2 linked regions of the Drosophila melanogaster genome follow. The protein of the gene in region 2 interacts with the protein of the main gene of each other region in a pairwise test. Each region holds a gene or a part of one and is shown on either strand. Other genes may lie near its edges.

Region 1 (3,944 bases), on a different chromosome or scaffold from region 2:
TTTTTATTTTCAAACAGTTAAAGCAAAACGCAACAGGATTTACCGTTGCAAGCCCATTCTTAATTTATAACCATTCACTTTTAGGCAGGATCTATCATGTTTTTTTATCCATTGTTTATGTTCAGCATGTTTACAGTTAATCAGCTTGCAAAACTGTGCGGTCGTGTGCTTCAAATTCAATGATACTCTGCGCTTTTCCGCTATGTTTAGCTACATATATACATATCTTACTTTGCATTTACCTATGTATTTCTTGAGAACTGTTTCGGGTTTTGTGTTTTGTTAGGCTTTTTGATTCGAACACTTGCAAAAAATAAAACAAAACTTAAATCGCGGCATTAGCGCGTGCGAGCGAGATGGCGCGTTGGCACGCGTGTTTACCGTTGGACGCGTGTGCCGCTATTACCGTTATAGCCCCGTTTTCGATTCCTTTTTCAGCCGCGCTCTGCCAAACGATTCGTCCTGGTCGACGACATGCGTGCAAATAAACGAGTAAATGCCGAGCGACGCGCTGCCAGCCAGAAATGCTCCACTCATTCTGTTCTCCCCCATTTCTCCATTCCCCCCTTTTTTAGCACCACCCCTCCCAACGACAATTTCACTCGTTCTTTCCACCGAGTTGAGCGCAAAGCAGCAAAGAGAAAGAGAGCCGCAGCGAGAGAGAGAGAGAGAGAGTGATAGAGAGAGAGACTGAGAGTGGGAGTGAGTTTAAGCCAAAGCCAAATCGCGTTTTATTGGGCGACAAAATTGGACTTCTTCGGATCGGTCTCCTCGAAAAAGAGCTCCAGAAGACTCGACTTGAGCAGCTGATCCCCATCCAGGCGCTCCACGCCCTTCCAGCGTATAAGGGTCGGTATGCCTTCCACCGAGTATGGCGGCTTTCGGAACATGTTGTCCTTGCCTATCCAGGATTCCCGGCTACCCACGTCCACCACCAGGATCATGCAATCCGCCGGCGCGTGGTTGCGAAAGGCACTCATGATAGTTTCCTCGGCTGGAAAATATCAGCGATAATGGGATTAACTTAATGTATGTCACTTCTTTATGTTATGTTATAACTCTGCGATGAAATGAATCGAAATGATGAGGACAATGTACAATGTAGATGGAACTCTCAATGGAGAGCGAAAATCAAATCAAAAGTAACTCAAGTTAGCTGGGTAGAAAGTAACTAACTGAAACCCACAAATGAGAAGCGTGATAAGCAGAATGTAGAGTGCCCAACTGGACTAGTAACGCCCCGCTGGGCGAGGAGAATTCGTCACCTACCCGCCACGCAGTCCGGACACCAGCTGCGTCCGTCCTTGTCTTTCTCGCCGTAGAAGTAGATGTAGATGGGGCTGCGCTGGTTCTCGTACAGCTTGATCAGATTTTCCATCTCCTTGAAGCCCCGTGCCGGCACATATTCGGGCATTTTGGCAGTGTATGGGATTTCTGGATTAAAAAAAACTTGGACGTCTTGAACGGCGAGTTGGCTGGTGTACAAGTAAATTCCGATTGCGGCGATTTCGATGCGGATGGCAAACCCAAAATTTAATTCCAATCTTATCTGGATCTTATCGCTGGGTGTTACGGATCACTTAGCCGTTGCTTATCGGCCATCGGTAAGTTTATCGGGTAATTAATGGCGTATAATTTTGTTGTTTGCTGTGTTTTTCGATCTGTTTTGTTTTCTTTTTTTTTTTTTTTGCGGCAAGCTCCAGCAACTAGTATATTCACCACACTGCCTGTCCAGCGAACCCACCACAGCCGGCTGTGTGTGCGTGCTGTTGGGCGCACCGTGGTGAGTACGGCACTGTTAACCGTTTATCGAAACTCGAATTTTGTACTTAAATCATTTGAAGCAACGATAATTTTGACATTTTTATGGCATAAATCTATAGGATTGTTGAGTTTAACAAATAACAAACATTTAAAACTTCGTTCAAGATACATATCGATAATCTGTATTTATATTTCAAATGTTGGCCGCCCAATATTGATTGGTATTTCTGTTAAGTTCCATAAACAGCGCAAAAAATACTAACTTAACGAAAAACAAACCAAAAAATGAAAATTAAATTAAATCTATAATTAGATTAAAAACCAAAGCTTTGCTTATGTTGAAATGTTTGTTAATATTACCATATTATAACTTGTATAATTTGGATAATAATTGCTGTTTAATCGGCCGTTTATTTATGTTATCCATTATGTTATTATAATCATAACAGTTTCATTGCAGTTTGGCGGGATATTTAAAAAGATTTTGGAAAGTAGTTTAGAACGGTAAGGTAAACTTTGTGCAGCTCAAGACACAACTTTTGGGTTTATTGATTACGCATAATTTTCGGAAGTAATTCTTTTTCTTTCTTCTCACTTTCCTCCAAATGAATGAATTCCACTCGCTTTGTGTGAAAATTCTGCTTAATCAGACTTAACCCTGACACAATTTTGCCGGTTCTCACAACTTGAACTTCGTTGGGGGCCGACTAAAATGGAAGACCGAAATCTTGAAAAACTGCAAGCCAAGTAAGAAAATGGCTTATATAAAATGGATGGCGCAAAGGCAGAAGTATTCAGTGTTTCCGTAGATACCAAGATGGGTAAGCTTTGAAAGTAATATTAGCTAAAGAACACATTTCATATCGTATATATTTCATATATCAGGCGCCTTTAAAAATTCCCTGCTGCTGCTGACACTTCTGCTAGCCATCCATTTGGAGGCATCCAAGATAGTCTACAAGAAGCCGCTCTATGGCAATAGCAACATCATCAAGGACAAGCGTATAAAGACGAAGCCCGTCAAACTGGAAACCAGCACCATGAGCAGCACTGGTGTTGCAAGTAGCAGCACAACAGCCGAAGAGGATTGGCCCACGGCCGTTGAGTTTGTGATTATGACAACGCCCGCAAGCGAATTGGAAGCCAGCACGGAAACCATTGGTAACAATGGCACCACCGAAACGACCGTTGGCGAGGCACCCATCATCGGATCGTCGGAAGGATCCACACGATCGATGGAGCCAACCACCGCGAGTCCGCTGATGAGCACAAACCCATCGAGCAGCAGCAGTCTGGTTAGCACCATTCCCTTGCCACCGACAGCGGGACTGCCTGTGCAGGATAATCAGCCAGTGCCGTGCACATGCGGCGTCTTCCTCTCCTCGCAAATCCCAAATGGCTTGCCGACAAAGCCACTTATCCACCAGGAATTGGATCATATGTTTCCCTGCAATGCCATCGGTCGCAAGCAGTGTCAAACCAAATGCCTAGAGACGGTGAGTACTGGGGAAACGAGGAGGAAAAGATGAGGAGAAGCGCTCTATAACTCACCATTTCGTCCATTTTAGATCGTACAACATCTGCCGAATTCCGCAAATATAGTATGCTCCGCACTGGGTCACGATTGTCACAAGGAACGGGCCTATTTGTTCATCAAGAACTGTCACAATCAATGGGTTAATACCAATCTGCAGGCGGGCAGGGAGTACTGTTGTCGCTCTGGCGTTCCCTACCGTTGCCCATTGATGGGTTAAGCACTGTGCAAATGAAATAAATATATGATATGACAAAATTTCAACTGTATTGTAAATGCGCATGGTGTTAAAAAATCTAAAAAAAAAAGCAAAAAAAAAGCTAAGGTGTGCACATAAGGGTTAATAGATTTCAAACGGTTTGGTTCGAGTCCGGACTATATTAGTCCAACCGGTTGCGTTCTTTGCTAGAGAGTACGTATTTTTTTTTTTTAAGATAACAGTATATGCGTGGCGTTTTTAGGCTCAATACCAAACACAAGTGAACTGGCTACACTGACATTTTTGACAATAAATAAATAGTTGAATTAAGGAAATCAAAGCGAGAAATACTTTTTTTCCGGAGCCAGTAAGCTAACATTAAATAGGTACGTTCCGCAATTGTTGTAATCACTTGCAACGCCAATAACTAACCATTTTTAAAGCCCG
Region 2 (3,596 bases):
ACAGCAGGATGGCCGTGATCAGGCCATAGATGGCCACCGCCTCGCAAAAGATGACTGAGATCAGGTTCTTGGTCTTGATGCGAGGCGATCGCACTCCGCCGCCCGCCACACTGCATCCAATCATGTAGATTCCACTGGCGGCGCCCAGAACGGACAGGGCGCAGGCGAGGAAGATGCCCATGCCGGACCACAGGAAGGGATTCGAGGTGTACAGGAACCAGCCGAGCCCCATGCGCTCACCCATATTGACCATCACGTTGGCGAAGATTATGCCAACCGCGCCCAACGAGGCGGCGCCCAGTACGAACAGCATAAAGAATAATCCAAAACTCATCTTAGAGATCATCTTTTAAGCGAAAAGCTTCGAATTAACAGAATATAAAGAATCGATTTTAAGTTGGCACGGTGGAATGAAATCTTTTCGAACTGACAGGATAATCATTTCTTATAGAACATATAAATGATATGTAGAAATGAATGCCAATAAAAACAGAAGGAATAAAATACATTTGTGTATTTAGTTAGAAGATGAAATGATTACATAGCAACTTATGTAAGTCGGCATCAATTCATGGAAATGCAGAAAATCCGCAGCTTAACGATTCGACTTGGCCACGCGCTCCAACTCGTCCTTCTTCTTGATGGCGTAGGAGTTGGAGGATCCCTTGGCGGCGTTGATCAGCTCATCAGCCAGACACTCGGCCACCGTCTTGATGTTGCGGAAGGCAGCCTCACGTGCTCCAGTGCAGATTAGCCAAATTGCCTGCAAAAAAACATTCAGTTATTAACTTTATTGTGTCAAGTTCTATTTTGACTTATTATAATGGATAAAAATAACTTTCTGCTACTGCTTTCTAATTATTTACATTGAAATCGGTATGTATTGTACCTATTATTTTAAATTTAAGCAGTGTCCAAGTGCCTGTAAGAATTACGTAGATAACTTTCTTAACTACAAGAAGTTCCCTGAAAATGACTCATTTTAACTTCATACGACTTTGTGGAATGCGAACACGATTACCTGGTTGACACGACGCAAGGGCGACACATCGACTGCCTGGCGGCGCACAGTGCCGGCGCGTCCGATTCGCGTGGAGTCCTCGCGCGGACCGGAATTGACGATGGCGTTGACGGTGACCTGAAGCGGATTCTCCGAGGTTAGCAGATGGATGATCTCGAAGGCGTGCTTGACGATGCGGCAGGCGAGGAGCTTCTTGCCGTTGCTGCGCCCCTTCATCATCAGCCCGCTGGTGAGGCGCTCCACGATGGGGCATTGGGCCTTGCGGAATCTCTTGGCCGCATAGCGTCCGGCGGAGTGCGGCAGGTAGCGGGCGAACTTCTCCTTTACGGCAATGTAGTCCTGCAGCGAGATGTCGCTGATGGAGATGTCGTCGCAGGCCCAGCGCCCGAAAAGCTTGATTTCCGGCCACTCGGTGACCTCCTGGGCCGGCATTGTGGTAACGACATCGTCAGCCCAGTCCTCCTGCTCCTGCGGTATAACCTGGCTCGCCTCCTGGCTGCTGGACTCCACCACTTCCTCGGACATTTCGGGGAAATTAATTCGAGCTAGATCTCAAAAGGCGTGCGACTTCGCGAAGCGTTCGGCGCGGAAAGAAAGAGGATGAAAAAGAAACGGTAAAAGGAGCTGTCACTTTCAAAATGGCCGCGACGTGCAACACTGCGCCGAGGGGCTGCCAACTTTGGGGCCTTTTTTTGGCGGGGGTTCAAATTTCAGGATTGCCCTTTGTGTTTATTAGATTACACATTGTTATCAAACTGGATTCGTTATGGCAGGTACCAAATGATCTAATTCTTTTATTAACATTAATTTTATTGACATTTACTTTTTCTTATTGTCCACTCCACCGATATACTTTTAAAAACTTTATTCTTAGATTAAGAACATTATTGTTTATTTATAACTTTGGTAAATTAGTTCCGTAAGACTGCCTTTTCAGAAGTCGCTGAAAACGCGAATGAACCAAAAGTGCCCATAATTTAAATGCACATCACCATACATATATGCTTGGATAAACAAATGCAGCAAAAGCTCGGGTTCTTTTTACTGCTGACTTAACATAAGCTGCTAGTATTGCTGCTTTCCCATTATGCACTGATACACTGAACGAAAAGTTGATTCAAATAAGTTTAATTCGTAATATTCATATCCCTCTTCCTTGTTCCTGAGTTCGTTTATTTCCTTCCTCCTTGTTCCAAAGCTTGTTTAATAATATAATTTTTGCACCAAACTGAGAACCATTTTATAAAACAAATAGGTGCCATATATATGTATGAATGATGTGTGTAACGCACTCATAACATTTTAGCGCGTGCTTCTGATATCTGATAAGCCATCGCCGTAGTCACACTCTCACACATATTGATAAACAAAACGTATATATTTTATTTGTTTTAATATGGAATACTTTCTATAATAATAATAATGCGACTGTGCAACCATCTACAACTGCTGCCTCAAACAGTAGCTTGAAATATACAAGTTTATCGTTTTGCGGTAGTAAATATAATACATTTTAAATTAGCCTTTGAAGAGCCAGCGTAGAAACAAACATAACAAACTGCTTAAAATCAAACACAGACACACACACACGATGTCTTTCGTTTGGCAAAGAAATGAAATAAACAAATCACGGTCGTTTTCACACCGTGCACACTCCACAGTCGATTGAGTGATGCTGGTGACTGCGAGCGTGCGAGGCGTGAAAACCAACTGCCAACTTAACCAACTATCATCTTAATGAGTAACTAAGTCCTAGTTTAAAGCGTTACGGCTGATCGGATTTCGGTTTGTCGGGCGTCTCCTGCAAGCAGTAACTGCGTATAGCGAGTCGTAATTTCCAAAAAAATACACAAACACTGATGTCGTGCGTGTCTGCATGGGGATGGGGGAATGCTCTGATGTGTGTTGTTCTTCGTGATGATAATGGAGTGGCGAAGGCTGCGGGAGAAGAGTGAAAGTTTATTTCGCGGCTTGAGTTTGACTGAGGTCGAGACTATAGCACTCGTAAAACCGAAGGATTGGCAATCAGGAGTTCTATTGCTTAGGTTTCATAAAATGCATCTCAGAGAAGAGCTGGTAGCTCCTCTATGTTTATGCGTTAAATGAACTTATTACTTAGTTTATCAAACAAAAAGTGCGTTACAACATTCTCTTAGACGCGAATCGCGCAATGCAACCTACAAGTTATAAAGATTCAGTTGTTCCGTCGCGAGTGCTATTTTCTTGACCTTGGCTGTCTCTGCAATGATTCATACTCACACTGCATGGCTGGCGACGGCGCCTACTCCTTGTCGCCCATCTTGGACTTGGAGGTCATGTAGATGCCCACGATGAGGCCGAACAGACCGATGGCCGAACCGAAGATCTCCACAATAAGGATCTTGACGAACAGGGCGGCATTGGCGGCGTCCGAGAGGGCGGCACCCGAACCCACAATGCCCACAGCAATGCCGCAGAACAGATTGACCAGGCCGACAGCCAGGCCAGCACCGAAGATGAGGTAGCCGGAGAACCAGTTCGTGTTCTGAATAGCCGCCTGCGAAAGGGCCGTCTCCATCGAGAACTGCTCCAGCTG

The links.
Region 1: the proteins of RpS5b (region 2) and CG3939 interact in a two-hybrid assay, tested with the Drosophila melanogaster proteins (one large-scale study listed by BioGRID).

What each region holds. Positions count from the first base shown.
Region 1 is NC_004354.4:3,172,984-3,176,927, reverse strand, and holds CG3939 (uncharacterized protein), read right to left. Parts: upstream 1,911-3,944; 5' UTR 1,415-1,910; coding exon 1,270-1,414; intron 995-1,269; coding exon 732-994; 3' UTR 705-731; downstream 1-704. Other genes in the region: Fcp3C (follicle cell protein 3C), read left to right, coding at 2,534-2,585, 2,650-3,260, 3,333-3,518.
Region 2 is NT_033777.3:14,899,932-14,903,527, forward strand, and holds RpS5b (ribosomal protein S5b), read right to left. Parts: upstream 1,633-3,596; 5' UTR 1,547-1,632; coding exon 1,022-1,546; intron 967-1,021; coding exon of another isoform or gene 949-966; exon of another isoform or gene 890-948; intron 764-889; coding exon 596-763; 3' UTR 501-595; downstream 1-500. Other genes in the region: VhaPPA1-2 (vacuolar H[+] ATPase PPA1 subunit 2), read right to left, coding at 1-346; VhaPPA1-1 (vacuolar H[+] ATPase PPA1 subunit 1), read right to left, coding at 3,303-3,596.